7 linked regions of the Xenopus tropicalis genome follow. The protein of the gene in region 1 interacts with the protein of each later gene in a pairwise test. Links are inferred from orthologs where the notes say so. Each region holds a gene or a part of one and is shown in the gene's direction. Other genes may lie near its edges.

Region 1 (3,500 bases):
AAAGGTTTAAAAAACATCTTTATTTTTGGTGTCAGTATCACTTTAATTCCTAACTTACTACTAAAAAAGTATATTTTTATGAAAATGGTTTATTTAGATGAAGCAGAGTTTTACATATGAGCTGGTTTATGCAATATATTTTTATAGAGGCCGACACTGTTTGGGGGGTATAGTTTCCCTTTAAAATCACTAAAAATTCTGTCTCTCTAAATGAAGGGTTTGTGCAAGAGCACCCCCCCCCAAAAAAAAGATATATTGGACCTTACTGTCAATCAAAATCAACTTCTGCATAAAGAGGGAATGAAGATAAACAAATGCTGAGAGGGGATCATAGTAAAGATAAATGTGATTATTTCAGAAACAGTACAGAATGTTTAGAAAGTTTCTTATTTCAGTATGGTGATGCTTATATTACATATTTACAGTTGTTTATGTTTTTTTAAGTAAAAAATGTAAATTTGTGGAGTATCTAGAACCTCAATTTGAGATTTATTAAGAACTGGTATATGAAAGCTGCGGAGTTTATGTAGAAATCAATGGGAGATGTATTGGCAAGGTCTGCAAATGTATTACTAACATGTTTATAATTATGAAACACCCTACATTAAAACCTAACTTGTAATTTTTAGAATACTTAGGAGCACATTTACTAAGAAATTTTAAGAAAAAGTTGATTTACAAATGGGCTTTTGCCATTGATATTGTTTCTTGAAAAATTAGATTTTTCTGGAAATTTTGCCCGAAACATTTGATTTTTTCTAAAATAACTCCCGTAATTTGTGATTTATTAATGTTTAGTTAACTTTTTTTTGTAAAAAAAAAAAAAAATTCGACAGGTTGATTTGTCGAGTACAATTGAGTCCTTTCAAGGCTTGGAATAGAAGAGGAATAGAATAGCCTGTCCTTGACACATTTTCAAGGGGAATTTAATCCCATTATTGTTTTCAGTTTCACCCACATTCAAGTGAAACTAGAATGAGTACCAATGCTCCTAAAATGGCTGCTGGAGCAATTCCTGTTTGGCAAAAATAAAGAAGATTAATGGAAATGAACGTTCGTTTAAACTCAAATTTTTCGAGTTTCAAATATATATATAGTTGTGGCTTGAAAAATTTGCGATTTTCTAACATAAAATTTGAAATTTTCTTACGAAAGATTCAAGCATTATCGTGACATTTTATAAATACAACAATGATTAAGTTTAATTCGAATTTATACCGTGTTGAGGTTTTTTCTGTCAAGGCCAGAAAAAGATGAGTTTAAGTAAATGTGACTGTTAATTTTATATCTAGAGAAATGATGGGCTGTACCTACTTTGTATGTATTTTTTGAGAACACATTAATAGCTTAATTACTGTATCATGTATTACCGTATATACTCGAGTATAAGCCGATCCGAATATAAGCCGAGGTACCTAATTTTACCTAAGAAAACTGGAAAAACTTATTGACTCGAGTATAAGCCCCTCAATGGTGCAGCATGAAAAGCATCCATATACCGGTATACAAAATCTTTAATCCCATAAGTAAATATGGCATTTCTGTATTCTTTAAATACACCAAATTGCAAAGTATACATGCCTTTAATTTTAAAATATTAATGGAATTACAAGTAGAGCGGAAGCAACCATGCATATGGATTTTTTTTTTTTTTTTAACTTTGTTTTTATTGGTTGTTTTACAGCAAGGTAAAATACATATGAAATATATGAAACAAAAAAGAAGGAAGAAGGAAAAGGGGGGGTTAAAGAAAGTTGGGTGGGGGTTAGATAGGGGGTTGAGGGTGTTTTTTAATTTTTAAAGAAAAGCTCCATTTATTCAGGCTATGGATTTTCCAGCAAACAGCCCTAATATAAACAAATGTGAGTGTATTAAGCAATGCTAGGGCCCACGGCTAGCACAAGGATATCATAACCAAGCATTTCAATAGTGTGGAGTAACGGTGCTGCCTTTTGTGTCACTTACTGTCATTGTCATTCGGCAAGATGTTGGCACTAACAGTAGCAACAGTAACTAACTGTAGCGCGCACACTGTGTCCACATTCTCCTTAAGGCCGGGCACGGGGGGGTCCAGGGAGGGGGGTGCTCCTCCTGTGCTCCACTGTGTCCTTACCTGCAGCGGCGCGCTGTGCAGAATGTCGCGCGCACGCCGTGTCCACACGCTGCTGGAGGCTGGCACACTCAACTACCGCATTGCATGATGTATACAGTAGAAATGGAAGAAATGAACTAGAAGAGCTTTACAATAAAAATATGCATTTTACTTACTTACTTTTACTAAATGTTTTAAGGGATCTTTTATGTAAAAAAGCTGGTACCTTAAGTATATTTGTTTCTTGTGGTGTCCCGTGTAGAGATGTGTTGTAAGGTACTGCTTATTTGTTTGCCAGCAATGTGCAAAATAAGGAAATCTCTGCCCTACTATATTGAAGTAAGGTATCTCTGCCACAGCTTTCTTGGAGGTTGGGGCCTTTCTTTGCCTAAATGTGGCCCTGACAACAATTAAAGGAACAGTAAAATAAAAAAATTTAAATGATAATGTATTGTTGCCCTGCACTGGTTTGCTTCAAAAAAACTATTTCAGTTAATATAAATAAGCTGCTGTCTAGCCATAGGGGCCAAAGGCACAGGTTACATAAGCAAACAGATAATAGCAGATAAGCTTTGTAGAATACAATAGGAATCTATGCAATTTATCTGCTATATAACCTGTGCCTTTTCTCCTTTTTTCAATTTGAATGGGTACCCCCATGGCTACACAGCATTTTTGTTTACATAAACTATAGTAGTGTTTCTGAAGCAAACACACAACTTTTACCAGTGCAGGGAAACAGTAGATAATAGCTTAATTACTTTGATACACTTTCAGTTTTTGGTGTTACTGTTCCTTTAAAGTAAACATCCCAGTTAGTACAGATGTGTGGGCAGATGAATGTTGGGAACCCCTATGTATTCAATATACAGAGATTCTCAAATGAGACCATGTTGAAGAAACAGAATTATGTATTTTCAAAAGCAGTAATTTATATTTAAAAATGCAAAAACAATCTAACCCTAACTTGAAAGTTTTCCTTTTATTCCCATATTTACAACCTGCCCAGCTACAAAGTAGAAAGCGGCACACAATATATACAGTATACTTCTGGTGAAGTGTTTTGCCCTCACCTTTAAAATAACTAAACAACTAATAATTAACACCATTTATACATGCATATGTGTTTTATTACAGTTTCGCAAAGCCGTATGCAGGTTCCGCAGTCATGCATTTGCAATCAAAAGGCAGCCATGGCAAGGAAAAGAATAATAAAGAAAAAAGTGCTTTTAAAGAATACAGCAGTATCTCCTGTAATCAGCCCACCAAGTGTGAGTGAGAAAGAGCACAAGGCCATGGTGCTCCCAGAAAGGTCCAGTCTGACAGAAAAAGGGAGAGCCAAGAAAGAGGAGGAGCACATGCTGGGATTTGGAATTGTTGTTGATTCTTCATCCTCTGATGTAAGTTG
Region 2 (4,127 bases), on another chromosome or scaffold:
ATGACACTAAATTGTGCAAAACTATAAGTTCCATGCAGGATGCTGCCGCTTTGCAGAGCGATTTGACAAAATTGGAAAACTGGGCAGCAAACTGGAAAATGAGGTTCAATGTTGACAAGTGCAAAGTTATGCACTTTGGTAGGAATAATATAAACGCAAACTATCTACTGAATGGTAGTGTGTTGGGGGCATCCTTAATGGAGAAGGATCTAGGGGTTTTTGTAGATCACAAGTTGTCTAATTCCAGGCAGTGTCATTCTGTGGCTACTACAGCAAATAAAGTGCTGTCTTGTATAAAAAAGGGCATTGACTCAAGGGATGAGAACATATTTTTGCCGCTTTATAGGTCCCTGGTAAGGCCTCACCTTGAGTATGCAGTGCAGTTTTGGGCTCCAGTCCTTAAGAAGGATATTAATGAGCTGGAGAGAGTGCAGAGACGTGCAACTAAACTGGTAAAGGGGATGGAAGATTTAAGCTATGAGGTTAGACTGTCGAGGTTGGGGTTGTTTTCTCTGGAAAAGAGGCGCTTGCGAGGGGACATGATTACTCTGTACAAGTACATTAGAGGGGATTATAGGCAGTTGGGGGATGTTCTTTTTTCCCATAAAAACAATCAGCGCACCAGAGGTCACCCCTATAGATTAGAGGAACAGAGCTTCCATTTGAAGCAGCGTAGGTGGTTTTTCACGGTGAGGGCAGTGAGGCTGTGGAATGCCCTTCCTAGTGATGTGGTAATGGCAGACTCTGTTAATGCCTTTAAGAGGGGCCTGGATGAGTTTTTGAACAAGCAGAATATCCAAGGCTATTGTGATACTAATATCTACAGTTAGTATTACTGGTTGTATATATATAGTTTATGTATGTGAGTGTATAGATTGGTTAGTATAGGTTGTGTGCTGGGTTTACTCGGATGGGTTGAACTTGATGGACAATGGTCTTTTTTCAACCCTATGTAACTATGTAACTAACTATGTAACTATGAATAGTAACAAACAGCTAAAGGAACTACATTACCCAGCATGTAATAGGAAACTCAGCAGTAAACAAAAAAAGGAAAGGAGGTCCAGCAGAAGCTAAGATTAGATTGTCACGCTTGAAGCTTGCATCTCTTTTTTAGAATTTGGCAGGTTTTTACATGAGCAAGATCAGAAGAAGGTTGACCTTACTGACGACCCGTAGTAAGGAAGTGCTCGGAGACTGGAGAAATGGGTGCAGTAAATCAGCAGAGGGCGGAGCAAGTGACGGAGCTGTATTTAATTATTGAGAACGATGTCTTTAGAGAGGCTGTTTGAATGACTCTTCCTGAGTATAATAGTGGTGGACTCTGGATAATTTATCATTACTGCACCATTGGTATCTCTTTTTAGACTTGCAGACATAACATTCACAACATTGCGGAGGGGGCGTGGAGAGATGGATACAGCGTCACATCTTTAACACTGTGCTGCTACGGATCTTCATTTTGATCTGTGGTATATAACATATCCGTGGGCTTTTTGGTGCGGTGACTGTTCTTTTAAGCATGAGCTTTTATAACCTGCGCTGGGTTATTATTATAAATATTTGAAGGTGGGGTGTGGAATTTGTGACAGGTTCTATTCCCTACGGTTGGTGTGATAATCCCATTGCGGGTTAGTGTCGTGCACCTGCGCTAACTAAAATACTTGTGGACGGCTATTCCAGCTTTAATTATTTTATTGAGAATCATAATTAAGATTTCTTGTAGTAGCTGGAATTTCAGCAATGAACGGGACTCCACCCCCACCGCCGCTGGACCGAGAGGAGCACATCCTTCGCCTCGGTGAGAGTTTCGAAAAGAGGCCCCGCTCTTCTTTCCACACAGTGCGCTGTGAGTACAATGACATCACACAACTACACCTGTATGGGGCGGGGCTTATTTGTGGCTTCACGTCTGTGGAAAGGGGTTAAAGATGATTGGGAGACCTTTATTCTAAATTTTATGTCTTGCTGCCCTTAAACTTACAGTGTGTAGGTTCAATAACAGATAAATATGTTATATTTGAAAAGAAGCAAAGAAGCACATTTGTCAAAGTGCAAATCCCATAAATCTTTATAATTTTATGGACTGATGACAGATATCACGTGTTTACAGTTCCAATAATGCACATGAAGGGCAGCCATACAGGCTATCGCCTTGCAAAGTTTATTAATCACATAACATCATAACATAAGTTTTGAGGGCAACCCTATTGTCAGGTGAAATATATATCTTTTTGTTGTATTTCACTTGATGAAGGGGGCTGCACTGAAATTTTTTTTTTTTTGTGATGAAAAACTGGTTTTAAGGCAAAATCACACAAAGAAAATCCTGTGTGTTGTCACTGGATAAAGTCTGGCTTATAACAGCCAAGCATAGTACTGCGCAGGCAGCTACGTGGTGCTGAAGTTTATTACTGTTCATTAAATACAATGACAATAGTGCATGTTTTGTGTTCACAGTAAACCAAACCTACATGCAAGAAAAAAAATAGGCTGTATTTTTCATGATTTTCTTCTGTAATACTGATATACAAATGTTCTAAATGTGAATTACACTCTAGTAGGTAATTTGTTTTCTTTTACACATGACTGGAAATGAGGGCATTATTCACTAATCTTCTTTATATTCAACGCTATTAAATACCTTATGTTCTTTTTAGATGATTTCAAGCCAGCATCCATAGACACTTCTTGTGAGGGGGAACTTCAGGTTGGCAAAGGAGATGAAGTAACAATAACCTTGCCACATATTCCTGTAAGTCCTGTCGTACACTGAAAAAGCATCTGAAAACATGTGGTGTGAAACTTTCAGTTAGACTGTACAGAATAAGTGCATATGGTATGCATGGAACATTCTTTTTCGGTATGAGGAGATTGGTTGCTTATTGTGGAAGCTACCTAATATGAAATCATGTAGCAGTCAGGGATATGAGGCATGTATTCATTTAACTACAGCTCTTAGAACAGCCATCACTATTGGAGCATCAGTAATTGGTGTGCTGACAATTCAAAACTATTAATGCCAAGCATGATGCAGGCCTCCATGCCCAGATCAGTCCTGTAAAAAAGTCTTAACATTTATCCAACAGTATACATTAAGGGGTATATTTATTAGTATGTAAGCCAACATCACCGGTGATGTTGCCCATAGCAACCAATTAGCAATTAGATTTGAACAGACAACTACATGTTAGCAACCAATTAGATCTTTGTTTTCTAACTTTTAGGTGTTCAGATCTAATTTGTGATTGGTTACTATGGGCAACATCCCCAGTAATATTGGCTCACACACTATATTAAATATGCCTCTCACTGTATTCTGTCTACATCTGTCCCTCACCATGGTCATCAGTAGATGGCTAGAAACATTGGTGTCATTCATGTAAAAAGTAGGTGATGAGCACAGTGATTACAAATAAAGGTTCATTTATATCCGCAAGTACAGCAGGCAACTTGCACTTTTTCCCACAGTCAGTTGAGGGTAAAGCCACTTTCATTTAAGGTACTTAAATGCACTTCTTGCTGCTCCCTATAGTTGTGCTCAGTGCCGCTCAGTCCATCCTGCCTTCAGTAACAAATCGTGCACTGCTGTGCATAGGCGGATTTTCAATAAGGCTAGGGGAGGCTAAGTCTCCCCAAACCTGCTCTGCACCTTTAAAATAGAAAAAAAAATCAATCAGTTTCTGCACTGCTCTGGAACATTGGGGAAATCTTCTTGCATTCCTCCTTCCTGCAAGCTCTGGTTCTGTTGTAATCAGCTGTGCTCTGATTGGATCTTCTTGTGGCTTCTCCAATCAGAGCACAGCTCTCTTGACAGACAGTAACATTGACCAATCAAGGTACAGATGTAGGCACTGCAGAAATGAAGACTGTTTAGATGAATCTGCAGGCTGTAACTTTACCTAAGAACCTCACCAATTCTTCATTCCACAGGTACTATACTTTATATCTTCTAAAGGCTGAATCAATAGCTGAAATGAAATAGTTTTTTGTCATCTGGCATCTGTAATTTTCCTAACCCCCCTACTCCAGTCCTAAATTAACTCTTTCCCCCTGAAAAAGCTCATTGTGCTTTAATATATTTGTTGTTGTTTTTTGCACTTACTTTTTCTCTTACTTTTGTTAGT
Region 3 (3,334 bases), on another chromosome or scaffold:
CCATACTCGGCCTGTGTGTGCCATACTCGGCCTGTGTGTGCCATACTCGGCCTGTGTGTGCCATACTCTGCCTTCCCTACCCTGCCTGTGTGTGCCATACTCTGCTTGCTCTATGATGCTTGTGTGTATGGCACACACAGGCAGCCTACAGTGACACAATGCTGGCCAGACAGGTGGGGGGCCACACAGAGGGGGGCCGCCAGTTGGACAGCACTGGAGTAGGGGAAACAATAGGTTATCAGCAAGCAGTTCTGTTGTGAAGTGCTGGCTCTTTCTGATAGCGCAGACTCAGGCACAATATTACAACTAAAAAAATGCATTTAATGGTTTAACATTAAAATGTTATATGGTAGAGTGAATTGCTTGCAATATAAACAGTGTAATTTAGTAATACAAAGTACACCATAAAAATCATGACAGAATTCCTTTATAAGTTTAGGTTATTTTAGTTCTTCTAGTTCATCCTTTGGTGCATTCTTACCTTCTTTCTAGTCTTATTATTATTATTCTTTCACAGTGTTTTTACATTTCACTTTAAGATGATCCAGCAAATAAGCATGTCATGGAAGTGGTGCCTTCCACAAGTGCTGGCAAGAATTCTGTGGATCTTGTGCCAGCTGACCTTGAGATGGAAGATAGCAGCAGCAGCAGAGAGAATATGTGCAACCCAAAGTCTGAAGAAGGCGAGAGTAAGTGGAATTGGAGGGTGTCTGGGTTGGGGGAACCATACAGCATGGAACGTTTAGTGAAGAGTTGTGAGAAATCCCTGCTATGGCAAAATTGAAATCTTTATCTAACAAAGTACACACAATTATTGGAGCAAGACTGTGGCAAATTGGTATATTAAAGTGATAACAACTCTATAGTGCTCTTATTTTTGCACATTAGAAGAATATACTTTTACTGCCTATTAGTATACCAACAGTTATTCTCATTCTTTTAAATCTTGTGGTGCATTGCTACACAGAGCATTTTACTCATTGTATCATGTCTTGCAGTTATCGCAGTGCAAATAAAGGAAGAAGAGATGGAGGTTTGTGAACTCGAACAAGTAAAGAACCAGGACATGAAAAAGGAAATTAAAGAAGAAGAGGAGGTGGAACTATGAAGCAGCTTTACATGTAACAATAATATAGCTGTTCATGTAATAAGCAAATCCAAGAAGGCCAGCTTGTGCTTTTTTGTAAACAGAATGAAAGTGACCATAGGCAGCATTAAGAACAGTTGGTTAGTGTTAATTGCTTTGAAGAATGCTTATTGGCATGTATGTATGTATGTATGTATGTATTTTGGCCCATGTGACCTTTATATGAAATCATCCTCTATCAACTGGTTTTGAAAGGTTGGGGACTGTAGATGATGGATTCAACAGTGGCATTTTAGCCTAATGTCAAATTTCAAAATGAAATTGAAAAACAGATTGTGGTACAGGACTCTGCTGGAGCAACGCTGATGCATTTTGCAAAAATCATGTTTTTCCGTGACAGAATCCCTTTGCGGCCAGTGCTTGTCTACTCTTTGTAAATAGGGCCCCTGGGGGTTTTCATAAAAAGATGTGTATTTATGTAAATATTATTATGTATATACAGTGGGGGTATTTTTGTTTGTTTTGGTCAATTGTTGAGCAATATATGTTGATGAAATACCTGCAGAGGATGAAGAGGGGTCTGATATCCAGTTGCAGCATTCTTTTATCCACTGTATAGGGATTATTCAATTTAAAATCTTTAAGATAAGTAACTTGAATCTCTATTCATTCACAAAATGCTGGCACATCCATGTGAAAGGCAAATATGCTGCAGTTGTGTTTTTCTCTTAGCCCTTTATATAAGTTTTTTTTTCTCTCATTATGTCAGAAATTGCCTTTGATTTCATAGCTGCTCTTCTATTAAGAGTACCTATCAAATGTGTGCAGGGCTGTTTACTTAGACTGGACACCTGTACCAAATGCCATGTACTGCAACTTTATGCAGTTACAGAGATTGCCCTCTGTGTTACCCACCCTTGAGGTTACTTTACCATCTCAATCAGGGATCCCCAAACATTTTTTAGTTGTGACCCACACGCAGATGTAAAAAGTGTTGTGAGCCACACAAGCATTAAAAAAGGGGTTATTTGGTAGCCCCATAAGGACTGCTGACCTGCAGGAGGCTCTACTTGGAGTAAAACTGCATCTCTATACTTCCAAAACTTGTCTCCAAGCCAGAGATTTAAAAATGGGTACCTATTTTGAGGCCACTGGGAGCAACACAAGGGGGTGGTGAGCAATATGCGAGCAATGTTGCTCACAAGCCATTGGTTGAGGATCACTGCTCTAGCTGGTGCCCACCTGGTGGCTGTATTATAAAATTAAAAAATGATTGGTGAACTTTGTATAAAATATTTACGAAAAAAAGCTTTAGCTTCTAGTTGTTGCTCTGTGCTGCAACCAAATACAATTGTAGAAATCCAAAAAATAGGAAAAAAAGCCTCAGCAGGTTTACTGCAAAACATTTATTGTGGGTAGTGGTAACTGGGATCAGCGGTTGGATACCAGCCATCTCCTGATCCAGCTGTTCACAACTGCATAATCTGTGATACATGAAGAGTTGCTGAGTGCCCTACCAGTGAGGTGGGACGTGAAGGGGGAACTTTACTTGCATAGTTCTGCTCTACATGGGACATTGTGCTTGCAAGTAAACAACTTTTATACACAGATTTGTTAAAGCCTTTGTTTGCCCTTCAAAAGCATACACACTTTTAAGATATATTTTGTCAGTTAAAGTAATTTGTAATATCTGGCATAAATACTTTATTTTTGTAAATAAACTTCTTTTTTGTAAAAAGAAAAAAAATCCTTGTAATATGTGACTTTATTTTAACACAAAAGGCTGTATTGAATTGAAAAAAAATGTTTTTTTTCAGATAAAAACAATTATTTTTCCCCACTTATTTGAAAGGGTTTGTGTTAAAAAGTAATTTCAATTCAAATTAGGTTTGGCTGGTCCCATACTGGTCTGGACTGGGAGTCAGAATAGGCCCTGACATTTCCAATACACAGAGGCCCAAACAGCCCAATAAATAGTGATTGCCAATGGTCTTTTACAGCAGTCCCTCTGGCATTTGCCAGAACCCACAGATTGCCAGACAGGCCTGGGCCCATATCCCCGTTCTCCTACATAAACTGTCCCACTTTATCTTGCTCATGTTCCTGTCTAAGACGGTTTGTTCCAGAGTGGCCCATGGCAAATTATATTTTTGGGTTTCAGCTTAATTCCACAGACTATTTTCTAAACACTTCCATTTTTCAAAAAACCATCTCAGAAGCTGTCAAACTTTGTTTTTAATAGTGCTA
Region 4 (4,073 bases), about 26 Mb from region 1:
CTAGAGGGGGTGCAGATTGGGAGGGGAAAAGTTACACTTTATATCCCTTCTGGAGCTGTAAAGTCAATTCTGCAGATGTGTATTCTCTATAAAAGGCACCTACCTTGCCACAGAATGAGCAGGTGTATTTGGCGTGCTGGCTGATTTCAATTTTTTTGACCATCTTCCTTAAGGAAGCACCGTAACGGGTCCCATATTTACCCACAATGCCAACCTTCTTGGTGCGTTTGGCCTGGAAAGAAGCAGAACAAATACATTCAGAAAAGACACAGCCAAATCTATAAACAAATGTATGGTTTGTAATTTCAGATACCCAAACGCACACTAGATTTCCATTTCAAATTCCATCCCAGTGTGATTCACCTGGGCCTTGTAGGGATTACACAAATCCTGTTAAGCCTTGGACTGGACTACAATTCCCAGCATATAATTAAAGATTAATGGTCCCTGACATTATGTCTCAGCCCTCCCTTTTAGAATGTAAGCTCTTGTGAGCAGGGCCCTCCCCTAGTGTCTCTGATCCTCATCCAAATGTAACTGCAAACCATTATTATGAATTGTTTATATGTACATGTTAACTCTTCTGTCTTTTGTACCCCTCTATTCTGTAAAGCTCTGCGTAAATTGATGGCGCTATATAAATAATAATAATGCTGCTCGCTGAGTGCCGCACATCACTACAGGGCTGCCAAAGTACAGAAAGAGCGGCAGGCCTTGAGTCTCTATTAAAGTAATGGTACAGCAAACCTAAATATAACACAAAAATCTGCCTGTGACAATGACGGGGAAAGTACAGGCCATTCTATGGCGCTGCGGTGTAAGGCAATCACTACGGGAGTACAAACTACACCTTCCCCCCAGGACCCTGCTACTTTGCAAACTATGGAGCCACTGATTCCAATTAAACAGCCGGGCTAGGCACACACACTGACATTCAAACCCTACGGAGCAAAGAGCCCGCAAGCCGGTGACTAAATACCGGTGATCGTCAGGGCCTCAATCTCCCGATCAACTAAACACATACATATATTTCCCGAAACTAAAGAGACGCGAAGAAAAGAAAGAGCAACGGGCGCGGGTATATGTGTAGCTGCAGAGAAAGGTGTCTAAGGTGCAAAAAGGTCGTTCCCGGGAAAGGATTACGACAGATTGATAAATGCCGAAGCCGCCACAACGCAAAGGCTCACCATCTTGCTTCAGGACCCGAGGGAAAAGGGAAGGGCCAAACGCGCCTGCGCAACTTTAGCACGCAAGGGCGGAAGTTGCCGGAAGTGTTGGGAATTAGTCTATGGTATCTAGTCCTCCAGCGCTTCTCACAACTTGGAAGAGCTGTTGTTTTCGGTGTCGTTTGTGATTTCTTACCGGTACAATGGCGTCCTCAGCAAACGCGCTAAGCAAGCAACCGCCCATCCAGTCCACGGCCGGTGCCGTACCGGTTCGCAATGAAAAAGGTAAAGCCTTGGGTTACTGAAAAGCTGCGGCCTCCCGAGAGCCATATAGTATAGTGTAGTGCCAGGGAAGCCTCCATCTGGAACTACACCTAGTGCTTCTTTATCTATAAAATGCCATAATATCGTATCTAGTGTTAATTTTGGGCGCGGTGGACAACGTGCAGCCCAAATTGTTTAAAAGATTAATCTCTACAATCCAGAAACCTGTCGGGGCATTGTAGTTCTATGTGTTTGGTGGGGTACTTCTTGAACACGTAGTTCCGCCGTCTGCGCACTGAGGGTTGTGGGTAAAGATGTCAGTCTGGTGCTGACTGATTACATATTCCAATATAGAGACTATTGACTGTGCAATTTGCCCTAGTCCAGTAACCCGTAGCAACCAATCTGCGATTTGCTTTTATTGTTCTACTAGCAATACACAGATAACTGCTGATTGGTTACTGTAAATATGCTCAGTGTTGGAAATAAGCCTCAGTGATAGCATTAAGTATAGGTTGGCAATCTGCCTTCAGTGCAAGATGCTATCACAATGTAGCAGTAAATTGCTCCTCTGCCAGTTGCAGTAATAAGCTTTTGCTGGGCTGCCAGAAGAAAAATACTTTTTTTCCCTCTCTGAAACCCCAAATAAGGGGATACACTTGTGATATGGTATACAGTACGTAATATACATGGTATACAGTACGTAATATACATGGTATACAGTACGTAATATACATGGTATACAGTACGTAATATACATGGTATACAGTACGTAATATACATGGTATACAGTACAAAACCACCGATATCTACCAAATGTAGCACATGCAATTCACTAAGGTCTCAAGTGAAAATTGAGGATCTTAAGACTATCACTTTTTTCCACTAATGTGCAGTCATAGGTGTGTGACTTCTTTTGTGCTATGCATAACTACTAAATGTGCGTCAGTATCCTCTGGCGTTTGTTTATTCAGAGCTCGCACTTAGAAGATTATGTTATACTTTTTGTCTTGTACCTGCAAATGGAAAATGTATTATTCTGCAATCGAACATCTGCTATACCCTAGCTAAGTTAAGGTGGCCGTACACGCTAAGATCCACTCGCTTGGCGAGGTCACCAAACAAACGCATCTTCTACCGATATCCCCACCTAATTCAGTCGTTTGGCCCTGGAGCCAAACGATCGAATTAGAACGATGGGTATAGTCGCAGTTGGTTCGGGGACCGCATCAACTTTACACAGGAGATTTTGTAGGGTGGTGTCAGATCAGCTGATAGCATCCTTCAAGTTCGGCTGATACATTGACTTTTAGTGAATCTGGAACAAAACCCACCATCCGACTTCATCTGATCCATCCTACATAACTGTAGGGAGGGGATCAGATTTTATTGGATTCCACAAAATCTTGTGCTGTTGCACAACAAGGTTTTGTGGGTCAGATAAAGTCTGATCCACAAAATCTGATCAAACGCTAATGTGTAGTTTCTTTCTGAATGGTAAATTTGGATCAGGCTTTGTGTGTCAGACTTTATCCCATACCTGTATAATGATACTGCTTGCTAATTTTTTTTTTTTTTTTAATAAATTAAATTTGACATGTGATCCTTACATTTAAAGGGGATCTGTAGTTAAAATAGTATTGTGTTACTATAGAGCAAACCAGAATACAAATAAATCATTTTACTGTAACTATTTTTCTCTTTTAAAGGGGTAGTTCACCTAAACAATTAACTTTTTGTATGATGGAGGCAGTGATATTCTGAGAAAATTTGCAGTTTGACCTTTTTGTGTGGTTTCCAGAAGCTCAGTTTGGAATTTCAGCAGCTATCTGTTTTTTGGGCTGCTGGGTTCAGAGGCCCCTATTTGACAGCTAAAGAAAGCATGTAACTAAAAAAACTATAACAAGCAAAGACTAATTGAAAAGTTGCAAAGAATAGGGCATTCTATGACTAAAAGTTACCTTAAAGGTAAACTACTGAGTAGGCATATGTAGGGAGTGACTGAAACCCCAACTTGTTTATCATTGGCTGCTATTCTGCATTGCAGTGTCACTGGCCCTCTTTTAACTCATGGGGTAGACTGTGTTGCTGGATTTTAAAATCAATAAGATTTTTTTTAACCTGTTTTTAAAGGACTTCACTATCCATTATTACAGGTGAAATATCAATGGAGAAAGTCAAAGTTAAACGATATGTTTCTGGTAAAAGGCCCGATTACGCTCCAATGGAGTCTTCTGATGAGGAAGAAGAGGAGTTCCAGTTTATTAAGAAGGGGAAAGAACAGGAGGTCGAGCAGGAGGAACAACCAGAAGAAAGTACCAGCGATCCTCGTTTACGTAGATTGCAGAGTCGCATGAACGAGGATGTGGAAGAAAGGTGACTGTTTCAGTCTTAAAGGATAATACTGCTGGTATTTTCCAGATCTTTCTGAAATTTGGACCCCCAAAAGTCTACTAAAAAAATATTTAAACTGTAAATACACCCAGTATACACCCATTTTGAAAAATCCAAATCATTTGATCAAAATGGAGCCTTTGGGAGATGCCTTTCCTGAAATATGGAGCCTTCTGGATAACAGATCCTATGCCTGTACTTTGTAAAGTCAGTGTGGTTTCTGACACTGATTTTAGTCTATGGTGGGCT
Region 5 (3,500 bases), on another chromosome or scaffold:
TTTTTCAATTCAAGTAAATTAGTATCCATTTAATATTTTTTGTTTGTGTGTGACTTCTATTTTTAATGGTTGTAGGAGGATGAAGAAGAATCTAGTAGACTGGACACAGAGGAAAAGAAACGCCTTGGTCTTAACACGGAGGACAATGTAAAGCACGACGCGAAGCAGATAATAGAGTAAGTTATAGGAATATTCTGGAAGTCTCAAAAAATGACCTACCAAAAATGTAAATAAAAGAAGTAGTTACATAAAATCTCCTTTTTTGAAGTGTGTTCGTGAGCTTGTCAAAACAGCATTATTAAAGAACCATTATTGTTTTAATGCAGCATGATAAAGCTTGATAAATATTAGGTGATAAAAAGGTTTTTGCATATCAGAGGTTGGCACAAAGTGTCTGTTTGGGTCTATAAATAGTTGTTGTTATTTATTTTTCTGATTCATGTGAACCAGTTACTGTAAATTTGAGTTATTTCTATTACAGTTTTTCACAATTACTCTATCCCTTACTTTGTTAGCAAATGTACATATTTGGCTAGATGTACATTATATTTGCTCTGTTTTTCAATCAGATGTAATTCTTAAGAATCCTTGTACATCTGTTGAAATAATTTTTTATGATGATGTTTTTCAACAGACTCCGTAATATATGCAGCATCTGTGTAACAAAAATTTATTTTTTTACAAAACAAAAATTTATATTTTTTACACTAGCACTGACAACAGGTATAAGTATCAAATCTGGCTTGGGTGTTAGTAAATTTGCTTTCTTCAACTTTCAGTGCATGATTGTGTCCTGAAGCCTTTACTCATACGGTTACTGTAAAATTATATGATGATTACTATAAAATGATATGGAAAGGGCCTTATATCAATGCCTCCTTTAGCTTCACCCATAGGAAAAGCTGAGCTTATTTTAAGGTGTCCTGGGGGATATGCTGTTTTAACAGACATGGGTTTACTACATGAATTTCTCAGAATGCAAATGAATATTGTAGGCAAACTAAAGGTAGGGCAGAGTTATGTAATGTCTATTTCCACTGATAGGAACATTGGAGTCTTAGTGGGTTCCAAGAATCATATATTTGGGGGAAGTGTTGATTTCAGCTTCATAGCTTTAAAAGCTCAAGGGAGCTTTCAGTAATATTCACACAAGCTAGACACAAGCCCTAGGGATGATGATGTAGAAAGAGTACTGTTTCTAGTATCATTACATGGGACATGCAAGATAAGAGACATTTTCTCCTTCTTACAATAAGACTTTCATGCTCTTTGCCGTCTAGTATATTCTTTGGAGTAACCACTAGCATACTTCTTGAGGCAAAGATGTAAAACAAAATAAACAACAATTTGTTTGACATTGAAATGTGCAGCATTTTACATACACACTTGGCTAAACTCATCCACCTTTGTTGAGAAAATGATGGAGCTTTCTTAAAATTAACTAAAAAGTGTTTAGGCACTATAATGGTCTATACTGTTTGGTTAAACATGTTGTTTGATGTTTTAGGACAGCAAAGCAGGATGTAGATGACGAGTATAGTATGCAAGAGGATGCCCGTCAATCTCAGTCCTACTACGGAGTGGCTCACGCTGTCACAGAAAGGGTTGAAAAGCAGTCCTCCCTCCTAATTAATGGCAGCTTAAAACACTACCAGGTAAACAGTCACTTAGCTCATCTATTGTTAAGTATAAACGTGTTAAAGGGGCAGTGTACCCTTTGTTCATCATGAGTTCAGTGAATATTATTATTATCAGTAAATAATAAATGGTGTGCAGGATAGGGCAATTATTGGGGCAGGGTAGAATAGACTTTTTACTTAAAATTATTTAGTGTTACTTTTCCTTTAACTCGGTTACAGCAGTTTTTAAATGTTTCTTGATAGGTGAGGTTGTTACTATTACAGAAACTGAGCACTCATTATTTTTAAAATAAACGACTGGCCCAGCAGATATTTTTCTTATTCATCAAAAATTTCCTTGTGTCAGAAACATTTTCCTGATAGGAAAGTTTTTATTGAGTGGATGTGTTTATCAAAGTTGATACCTGTTGCCAGTTTGTCAGAATATGTTGAAATGCTTTTAGCAGGCAAACCCAGTTCTGCTCTGTGGGGTGGTAGTTCTTAGTGCTGCTCAGGAGCAGTGCTGAGCACTATCACCCATGCAAATCTTTGCCCCCAATGTGTATAGTAGAATACAGATGAATGGGTTCAGACAATTATTTTCTGCACTAAAATGTAATATATAGACACTTAATGGTTAAACAGTCAGAATCTTCAAAAGTTCAACAAGCTTTTGCTGATTTTCTTTCAGCTAGAAACCGCTGTTTTATATTTCAGATTCAGGGTTTGGAATGGATGGTTTCCTTGTTCAACAACAATTTAAATGGAATCCTGGCAGATGAAATGGGGCTCGGAAAGACCATTCAAACTATTGCACTCATAACCTATCTGATGGAGCACAAAAGGCTTAATGGGCCATACCTTATTATAGTTCCTCTTTCGTAAGTACAGAAATGTTGTCTTTTGGTTCCTTACCTGAAAAAATAGAATAAAGTTATAATGTGCACACAAACACATGTTGGGTGTCATCTTTTTGGCTTAACATTCTGATTATATCAGAGGCCCTGTAGAGATTGTCAGGGAGAGTATTTCAACTACATTTCCAACATTTTTTTTTATCAGTATTAAAATGGGTCTGATCAGATACAAATAATTTAAAAGCAGAGGAAGTAACAATTATGTCAGAAATGTTCAGTTGCAAGATTTTTGGCCTCTACAAACTGTCAATAAGCAAAATCGGAAGGGCCCACGCAGATACATAAACTTTTCACCTACTATTGCACCTACATGTGCCGTACACATATGTGCTAGTACAAGTTACTGTTTTCTTACTACATAGAATAAAGAAATGATAAAAGAGAGACACTATAGAAATCACAATTTCTGTATTTCTGAGTTTTTAGGATAATGGGTTTCTAGATAATAGATCCCATACCTGATCCCATAAGCAGTTAACTGTGTAGTGCTGAATAATTAGCAGATGTCTAGAAGATTAGAAAATATCAAGAAGATGTTTTCAGATCAAGCTGGCACTTGTCTACAAAACAAAAATACAGTATATACAAAATTATTTTAAAAAATGTCCATGTTATATTTTAATGACTTGATATACTGTTTATTTATTTAAATCAATATTCTTTCCTCTAGGACTTTGTCCAACTGGCTATATGAATTTGATAAATGGGCCCCATCAGTTGTGAAAATCGCATACAAGGTTTGCAGTTTCACTCTATTATTAATGATCGTGAAATTATTCCTTTACTAAAGATATATGTGTGTGTGTGTGTGTGTATATTTTATTATGTTCACCCCATCTTTGCATAGAATTATGTTAAACTGCTTAAATTGCCACATGCGTCCTAGTGCAAGGTAATCATCCTAAAGACATCACTGCAATATGGGATAATTACTTTCAGATGGAAAAATGCTGCACAAAATGGT
Region 6 (4,240 bases), on another chromosome or scaffold:
TGGGTAAACCTATACATATTGGGCATCAAACTGTTCAGTGGACCCCTGGTGTTCAAATTCAGGGTGTTTTATCTTGGTACCTAATGCTATGTGGGAGATAAGATGCTTCAAATTGGAAGCTTTGAGGGGATTTTTGGAAATGTCATCAAAATTGCTAACTTTAGAAAAGCTGTGCGGCTTGGTACTTTGGAGTAGAAAGACATGGGTACCCATTTTAGATTCGGGGGAATGTGTACTTTCCAAAAATATATGACTTTCTGGGGTGAGCGTACTTTTTACTAGCTTCATCCCACATATAATGATGTAAATGTGTTGATTTTGCAGAAGCTGAAATGACAGAAATGACAGTTCATATGGGGTATGTTCACATTGGGGCCCCTACATGCCACATACTTAGGTAAACCTATACATATTGGGCATCAAACTGTTCAGTGGACCCCAGGCATTTATATTTAGGGTATTTTATTTGGTTACTTTATGACCTGTAGGAGATAAGATACTATAGACTAGAAGCTTTGAAGCGATTTTTAAAAAAAATCACAAATTTTGATAAAAACCAATAACTTTAGGAAAGCATTGCAACTTGATAGTTTGGAGTAGACAGACAGTTGTGCCTATTCTGTATTCCCCAGAATCTGTTCTTTCCAAAAATGTACAATTTTCTGGGATAAACCTTCTGTTAGTGGAATTTTGGCCTTGAAATCCAAAGTATGCAGTTTTTTTGGAGCAGTGCTTTGGGAATTTGGTAGTGTACTGCTGGGAGTTTTTGACCTATACAAGTGAGAAATCTCCATAAAACTATATATATTTGGTATTGGCACGTTCAGGAGACATGGGACTTTCCAAATCAGTTGTATATTCGTGCATAAAATAATTTTTGTTTCTAGTATGTGTGATTATATTATGGAAAATTTGATTTTTTTTGCATTTTTAGACATTTAGAAGCCTATATCTTGTTACAGAATTGGAATTACACAAAAATTCTACCATATTTTGAAAGCTTAGGTTGTTCTGAAAAAAACGATATATTGTTTTCCTTGGTAAACTAAAAGTCCCCCCGAGGAAAGGCCCCTAAAGTGAAACAGTGCAAAATGTTCAAAAACTGTCTGGCAATACAAGTTCCGCTTTGACCAAAATGGCTGGCAGTAAAAGGGTTAAGTGTGTGTGTGTGTGTGTGTGTGTGTGTATGTATATATATATATATATATATACGAGGTTGTTTATTTACATATACTATTACATTTGGTGGTCATTCCGGACTGAGCCCCTTACCGTCTGTACGTACGGGCACTGAGGCCCCTCTGGCTCTATCCCTGCCGCACCAACATGAACCCATCAACCGAACGAGTCAAGACTTTCGCCGATAGGTACGTCACTTCCGCCCTCAAGGTCGCGGCGCTGGGAAGCCGGGCGGAAGTGGCGTCACAGTAAATAGTCTGCGCAGTGCGGGAGCGCTACACGTGGGTATAGCTGGCGGTACGGTGGGAGAGAGGCGCCTTAGGCTATAGTGGGACTGCTGCGCCGAGCCCGGGAAGTGGGAGGTAAGGGGTGCCCGATGCAGCGGGTTTCTGAACTGCAACTCGCACAAACTGTAAGATCTATAGAGAGAGACACTATGGGTGTGCTGCTGTTAGACTAGCACTGTGTGTGTGTGTGTATGGGGGGCTGGGTATGGCTGTGTCAGCTAACCCCATGGCATCAGGGGGATAACGATCCTGTTTCAGCTTCGTTTAAATCCTAACGGGATGGATCAGTTATCTCAGTACCCTGTGCCCCCAGCAAAGCCCCCACACTAGCTCTTCTGGCAAAACTGTGCTGTTAAAGGGCATCTAAATGCAAAATATAAACTGGCCTTACTGACAGTGCTCATCCGAGCTATAGTACATAAACTGGCTTCTGACTCTCTCAAGAGACTGCAGGGAGAGCACAGCTGGGGTTGCTGGCACTTTTTGGATCCAAAAAGCTTGGGAATCAGTGTAAAGCTGCCATTATCTCAGTAACCAGTTTAAACTGGAAAAGTGCTCACAGGACTTTAACTTCATTTTTGGGGTTAAATCTCTTTAAGGCTGTTATTACACCTGGCAGTCTCCCCAAGTAGCCAGTGATCACCGACTCAGGGTATCAGACTGCACTAGTGCTCTCCATTAATGTAAAGCTGCCAATACAAGTAGAGAGATTTCCATATAACTGGTGAACAGCCAAAGGATTTTTCAGTAGCTAGAACACCGGAGAGTTAAAATGAACAGAAAGGTAGGGCAGCGGATTGGCCGTGTGTAAAGGTGCCACTTGGGAAGCAGTATTGCTAGTGCCACACAGGGATGATTCTTGGCCTGTGGAGAAAAAATGAAGCAGCGTGTGGAAGCGGATCTACTTCTCTCAGCCTGACGGATAAATGCTAAATGAGAGAAGTGGACAAACCGCTCCCTGTGTCCAAGTCCTTAGGGTGAAGACACACAGAGCTACTTAGTAGCAGCTACTTCTCACGGCTACACCAGAAAATACTCTGCCATAGACAATACTGAGAATTGCCTCTTGTAAAACGTAGAGACAATTATCAGCATTGTCTATTTTAGTAGCTGCTACTAGTAGCTCCATGTGTCTTCACCCTTAGGGCTCTGGCACACGGGGAGATTAGTCGCCCGCGACAAATCTCCCTGTTCGCGGGCGACTAATCTCCCCGAATTGCCATTGTAAGTCGCCGGTGGGATGGCACACGCTGCGCAGGCGATTTCAGCAAATCGCCGAAGTTGCCTTGCGAGGCATTTTCGGCAATTTGCAGAAATTGTGCCGCCGCGTGTGCCATCCCACCGGCGACTTACATTTTCGCCGGTGGGATGGCAACTGATGGTAACTCGGGGAGATTAGTCGCCTGCGAACAGGGAGATTTGTCGCGGGCAACTAATCTCCCCGTGTGCCAGAGCCCTTAGAAACATCACCTTTGCCACTACCTTATCAGATTAAGCACACTTGATCAGAGATTATCGTCTGCCTGAACTAAACTGATTAAAGCAACAGTAACACCAAAAAATGAAAGTGTATAAAAGTAACTAAAATATAATGTGCTGCTGCCCTGCACTGGTAAAAGTTGTGTGTTTGCTTCAGAAAGTCTACTATAATTTATATAATTAAGCTGCTGTGTAGCCATGGAGGCAGCCATTCAAAGGAGAAAAGGCACAGGCACATAGCAGATAACAGATAAAACACTATTGTATTCTACAGAGCTTATCTGTTATCTGCTATGTAACCTGTGCCTTTTCTCCTTTTGTTCCAGCTTGAATGGCTGCCCCCAGGGCTACACAGCAGCTTACCGTATATACTCGAGTACAAGCCGAGTTTTTTAGCACTAAAAATGTGCTTAAAAAGTGAACCTCGGCTTATACTCGCATATATACGGTATCTGAATTAAATGCATAGCTGCACGCGCCCTAACTTGCGTGCTGACGCGTGGCATCGTTGCCGAGCGGGGGCTTCTCCTTACAGGTATGAGCATTAGGGCACCGATCTGTAGCGCCGCTTTGTGCCATTTCATTATTTTATTGGGGTATTTGCTGAGCTCTCAGGGCACCGATCTGTAGCGCCGCTTTGTGCAAGTTGAAGCTGCTCCAAACTAATGGCGCCTCCAGCCCAACAGCGCAGAGCAAGGGAACGATGTGCGGGCTGAATGCACAATTACAGTTTACATTCTTTTCTGCAGGTAATTCCATTCTTTGCTACAAGGCTCGGCTTATATTGCTTCCAATGAATTATTTTGACATTGGGAATGTCACATCCCTCAGACATAAGGCAGATATTATAGGAGGGGTGCAGGCACTTTCACATAAGGATTTCCTTGTATGCCCCCCATATTGCCAACAAAGGGGCCATAAAGTGGGGTGCAATCCAATGCAAACACCATGGTTCCCACTTTCAATGGAGCCCCACAGAACAGTAGCTGCACGCAGAGGCAGTTGTGCCCTACATACCCATCCATAGGCGAAATGGAACAATATATATAATTGCCCCTTATTGGGGGCAGAACAATCCTATTGGGTTTATTTCATGGTTAAATGATTCCCTATCTTGCTCCCTTCCCATTGTTCTGCTGATTGGCTGCTGGGGGTGAGGGGGGGATATCACTCCAACTTGCAGCGCAGCAGTAAAGTGTGCCCGAGTCTGAGCTTTCAGAAGGAGCCAGCGCTACACATTAGAACTGCTTTCAGGTAACCTATTGTTTCTCCTACTCCCATGTAACTGGGGGAGT
Region 7 (4,110 bases), on another chromosome or scaffold:
TAATAAAAACTTTCAATAACAATAAAAATTTAGTTTAACGGAGCAATAGGGTTTTGTCTAAAAAGGCCAGTGACCCCAATTGAAAGTTTGAAAGAGTGAGAAGAGATACTAGACCAGTGATCCCCAACCAGTGGCTCAGGGGCAACATGTTGCTCCCCCACCCCTTGGATGTTGCTCTCAGTGCCCCCAAACCAGGTAGTTATTTTTGAATTCCTGACTTGGGGGCAATTTTCGGTTGAATAAAAACAAGATTTCCTACCAAATAAAGCCCCCTGTAAGCTGATAGGGTGCATAGAGGCTGCCTAATAGCCAATCACAGCCATTATTTGGCTCCTCCATGAACTTTTATGGTGCTTGTGTTGCTCTCCAAGTCTTTTTACATTTGACTGTGGCTCCCAAGTAAGAAAGGTTGGGAACCCCTGTACTAGACCAATGGAAACACTGGTAAGAATGGAACATTCTATAACATATTAAAAGTTAACTACTACCCCTTTAAAGCTTAATGTGGTAATTGGGGTCAGGGACCTTGCAAAAACAATGTTTACCACTGGACAAATGGAAGGAAGTCCCAATTTTTTTCTTTTTTCTTTCTCATATGTAAATGCCATAAAATTTAGCTGTGTATTAATTTTTGCAAGTATGTTTTTTTTACTTGTTTACTTCTTTTCACTTCCATAATTAACTAAAATGCAGTTTGGCAAGGGGAACGCAACATTTTGCATTCAACTCATGTTTAATTTTTCTTCTATTATTTCAATTAAAAATGTACTGTTTTAAAGCACTTAGCACTAAACCATAGCCTAGGCTGAGAGTCAGCACAAGGTTTAGAGGAGACCTTTGATAAAAGGTTAGAAAGTGACAGTGGTTTGAATTTTGTGTAATGCAAGAAACAACAAAAACTATTGGTTTTATCTTAAAAATAAAGGTCATTAGGCACTTTAATTCATTGAATTCAGTGAATTAAATATGTCAGTGTTGCTGGTCCTTCATTTTACTGCAATAAACCCGCCACTATTAAATTGCGTATTATAAATTAGATTTTAGCATGTAAACAAGGAAAAGTGTTTAGCAACATTGTATGCATCTTCAAATACATACACAATATGTACAAAAAGTTAAAAGGATAACTGTATAGTGACAACTCGTCTACAATAACCCTTGTACGTTTCCTATTTCTTTTCTGGCATCAACTACCCTCTATTCCTCCACAGTCGCTATAGTGATTATTTATGGTTCGCAGCTACACTCAGTCCTTCCACAACTCTATGGTTTCATTAAAAACAAACAGAGCTAGAGAATTCTTCCTACTCTATAGTACGATCTTTCTTCTGCTCCTTGGTCATATTGCTATCTATGGTTCGTGCTGACGCGGCGATTGCTGATTGGCCATGCTGTTTTCCGCCGTCAAAGGCTGAGTGAGAGACAGACAGAGACATGTGACCCGGAAACTGAGTTAGACCGCAAGAGCTAGTTGCACCGATAGTGATAGGTCGTTGTTTTGCATACAAAATGTCTTTTGGCCACTAAGCTTTGAAGTGTGGGTTCTTTTTAAAGACCGCGGAAGAGGCTGAGGGCAGGAGAGGCAAAAGCTTGAAAGAAATCCAATGATATCTACAGAGAGAATTTGTTGCATTGAGCAACTACAAAGAAAGTGATTAAGAGATGCAAGTCCAGTACAGGAGGGTAAAATGGATGGAAGTATTGTGGTGCATCCGTCACTTGAAGAAAGGAACCAAAGGGACGCTGTAGAGGCCATGCCTCAAAACAGTGTGGAAGATGAGCTGAAAGAGGTGTTACCTGTAGAAGTTGAAACTACTATAGTGAAGAACCAGGAAAACACTGAGGGTGTGTCTTCTACAGCATTGTCTCCTTGTAGCCCAGAACCCAAACCTCTGCCCCTAAGGACCCTTTCTTCTACAGAAATGGATTGTGTGGAGGGTACAGAGGTCAGAGTATCAACAGAAACATTGGACCAGAGCAAAATAAATGAGACTAAAGAAGGTAGCGCACAAGAGGAAAATGGGCGGATTAAGCAGGGACCTAAAAGGGTGACATTCCCTTGTGATGATGATATTGTGTCTGGTGCCCTTGAACCCAAAGATCCATGGAGGCATGGTGAGTAATTCATTTGATTTTAACTGTTGAACCCAAATCATTTTATTTAATGGTTCTTACTAGTTAGTGTGGCATTGCACTGGTTAGCTGGTTAGTGTCTTAAAGGGGATGTCAAACCAAAGACTAAAAAACAAAACATGAAATAAATGTGATTTTAATTACTTTCCAGTATAAATTTGTTAAGAATGTTTAACAACTTTAAAGTTATTTGTATATGTAGCTGCTATTGAAAGAAGTTTGTGTTCATATGTCAGGAGAGCATCTTTATGAGAGATTTTTTTCTGTGATCTGGCATTATGCAAAGACATTTTTGTTTTCATTCCCCTTCAGCAGAGCACCTTCTGCACAGAGTTTGTATGTTCTTCTCATGGCTTCTTCTGGTAACACTTGGTTTTCTGCCATGCTTTTCATATTAAAGGGGTTGTTCACCTTTGGGTTAACTTTTTGTATACTGTAGAGAATAATATTCTAAGAAAATTTGCAATTGGTCTTCATTTTTTATTATGGTTTTTTAATTATTTTGTTGTTGTTCAGTAACTCTCCAGTTTGACATTTCATCAGTTATCTGGTTGCTAGGGTTTAAATTACCTTAGCAACCAGGGAGTGGTTTAAATGAGAGACTGGTATATGATTAGTAGAGGACCTGAATGGAAAAATTAGTCATAAAATTTAATAACAATAAAACTGGAGCCTTACAGAATAAGTTTTTTTGTCTGCTGCAGTCAGTCACCCCTATTTGAGATTTGGAAAAAGTCAGAAGTAGGAGGCAAATAATTTAAAAAATAAATAATAAAGACCAAATGAAAAGTTACTTATAACTGGCCATTCTATAACATATTGAAAGTTAACGTAAAGGTGAACAACCCCTTTAATGACCCAAGTTAGTGTTTGCCCAACGCAGGGAGTTTGGATTGCAAACTCTCCTAGGACATGGTCAGAGGTTAATGATAAGAGATTTCTGTAAAGTTGCAGATAATAATAATAGTTGGACCTAAAATATTTCTTAAAATATAAGCATGTTCACTGTCATAGGATGTCAATGAATGTTTTGATCTTTCACTGTAAAGCAGCACTGACACAAGCTTAGAAAGGTTCTCATTTTTATGTACAATATAGAAGCATATGTGGGTAGATTTTAAAATCTGAGTTTGTGTTGCATTTATATCTGTTTGCAAAATTATCTTAAATAAAAATCAAATCTAAAGTTTTTGCAAGAGAAAAAAGTATGCCAATGTTGACGCATGCATACTGTCATAATGTCATTGGCTGCCTAGCTTGGTTTTTGGTTTCTCCCTGTGAGCTGCAGCTGTTACTCTGTTTCCTTACAAAAAACAAAGTGTTGCAAAAAATGCATTTGTAAAAGAAATTAAACAATATATAAAAAAAAAACACAAAAACAATAAAAAATAAAAAAATATATAAAGTATAAAAAATGAACTTAATTTAGTGATTTGTTTATAAAAAGCAATTGCTGAATGTAATGAGTAAATCTCCAATATGTTGGGCTTGTGGAGCATAGTCAAGTAAAATCTCTGGCTCTCCTGATGCACAAATCAGAAAAAAGCAGGTACTCAAGGACTGATAATTCAGTTTCTGCTCAAGCAGCAATTCAGTCCTGTAGAGCAGACTTCCAAACATGTTTTTATCATAGTGGGCACTAAAGTGTAAGCAAAACATGGCATATATGCTTTGCTGCCATGCTCTCATAGTACTAGGTGTTAGACCATGGGATTGTGTTTCACTTCCTGCCCCCAATACAACAATGACAAATGATTGCATTTTATCTTTATTTATTGAACGTTCTCTGTTGCATTGTACAGTTACCTTTTAACCATAGGTGTGGTCTCTCTGACCTTTAGTACTCAATTAATATGGCTCATGTTTCACCTCATAGTAAGAATAGCCTTATGCAGCTATTTTTATTTAAAAAAGAGAAACCTTTGGTGTCTTATAAAATTCTGTAATTTTCCCACTTTTATCTTAAAATAATCTAGC

The links.
Region 2: the proteins of bend7 (region 1) and eaf1 interact in binary tests that used the Homo sapiens proteins (3 or more experiments, as listed by UniProt). The two-hybrid records come from large-scale screens. The link is inferred for Xenopus tropicalis from reciprocal best matches to the Homo sapiens genes BEND7 and EAF1.
Region 3: the proteins of bend7 (region 1) and l3mbtl2 interact in binary tests that used the Homo sapiens proteins (3 or more experiments, as listed by UniProt). The two-hybrid records come from large-scale screens. The link is inferred for Xenopus tropicalis from reciprocal best matches to the Homo sapiens genes BEND7 and L3MBTL2.
Region 4: the proteins of bend7 (region 1) and mfap1 interact in binary tests that used the Homo sapiens proteins (3 or more experiments, as listed by UniProt). The two-hybrid records come from large-scale screens. The link is inferred for Xenopus tropicalis from reciprocal best matches to the Homo sapiens genes BEND7 and MFAP1.
Region 5: the proteins of bend7 (region 1) and smarca2 interact in binary tests that used the Homo sapiens proteins (3 or more experiments, as listed by UniProt). The two-hybrid records come from large-scale screens. The link is inferred for Xenopus tropicalis from reciprocal best matches to the Homo sapiens genes BEND7 and SMARCA2.
Region 6: the proteins of bend7 (region 1) and lyar interact in binary tests that used the Homo sapiens proteins (3 or more experiments, as listed by UniProt). The two-hybrid records come from large-scale screens. The link is inferred for Xenopus tropicalis from reciprocal best matches to the Homo sapiens genes BEND7 and LYAR.
Region 7: the proteins of bend7 (region 1) and ppp1r37 interact in binary tests that used the Homo sapiens proteins (3 or more experiments, as listed by UniProt). The two-hybrid records come from large-scale screens. The link is inferred for Xenopus tropicalis from reciprocal best matches to the Homo sapiens genes BEND7 and PPP1R37.

What each region holds. Positions count from the first base shown.
Region 1 is NC_030679.2:81,757,203-81,760,702, forward strand, and holds part of bend7 (BEN domain-containing protein 7), read left to right. Parts: intron 1-3,229; coding exon 3,230-3,492; intron 3,493-3,500.
Region 2 is NC_030682.2:51,500,673-51,504,799, reverse strand, and holds the start of eaf1 (ELL-associated factor 1), read left to right. Parts: upstream 1-1,327; 5' UTR 1,328-1,743; coding exon 1,744-1,849; intron 1,850-2,660; coding exon 2,661-2,755; intron 2,756-4,127. UniProt on the Homo sapiens protein: Acts as a transcriptional transactivator of ELL and ELL2 elongation activities.
Region 3 is NC_030680.2:115,987,153-115,990,486, reverse strand, and holds the end of l3mbtl2 (lethal(3)malignant brain tumor-like protein 2), read left to right. Parts: intron 1-517; coding exon of another isoform or gene 518-539; coding exon 540-689; intron 690-998; coding exon 999-1,108; 3' UTR 1,109-2,834; downstream 2,835-3,334. UniProt on the Homo sapiens protein: Putative Polycomb group (PcG) protein. PcG proteins maintain the transcriptionally repressive state of genes, probably via a modification of chromatin, rendering it heritably changed in its expressibility.
Region 4 is NC_030679.2:107,687,106-107,691,178, reverse strand, and holds the start of mfap1 (microfibrillar-associated protein 1), read left to right. Parts: upstream 1-1,273; 5' UTR 1,274-1,369; coding exon 1,370-1,451; intron 1,452-3,586; coding exon 3,587-3,806; intron 3,807-4,073. Other genes in the region: rpl37a (60S ribosomal protein L37a), read right to left, coding at 104-232, 1,188-1,190. UniProt on the Homo sapiens protein: Involved in pre-mRNA splicing as a component of the spliceosome.
Region 5 is NC_030677.2:128,244,138-128,247,637, reverse strand, and holds part of smarca2 (probable global transcription activator SNF2L2), read left to right. Parts: intron 1-75; coding exon 76-176; intron 177-1,507; coding exon 1,508-1,655; intron 1,656-2,336; coding exon 2,337-2,500; intron 2,501-3,206; coding exon 3,207-3,273; intron 3,274-3,500. UniProt on the Homo sapiens protein: ATPase involved in transcriptional activation and repression of select genes by chromatin remodeling (alteration of DNA-nucleosome topology).
Region 6 is NC_030677.2:26,336,903-26,341,142, forward strand, and holds the start of lyar (cell growth-regulating nucleolar protein), read left to right. Parts: upstream 1-1,440; 5' UTR 1,441-1,541; intron 1,542-4,240. UniProt on the Homo sapiens protein: Plays a role in the maintenance of the appropriate processing of 47S/45S pre-rRNA to 32S/30S pre-rRNAs and their subsequent processing to produce 18S and 28S rRNAs. Also acts at the level of transcription regulation.
Region 7 is NC_030684.2:71,184,352-71,188,461, reverse strand, and holds the start of ppp1r37 (protein phosphatase 1 regulatory subunit 37), read left to right. Parts: upstream 1-1,310; 5' UTR 1,311-1,688; coding exon 1,689-2,115; intron 2,116-4,110. UniProt on the Homo sapiens protein: Inhibits phosphatase activity of protein phosphatase 1 (PP1) complexes.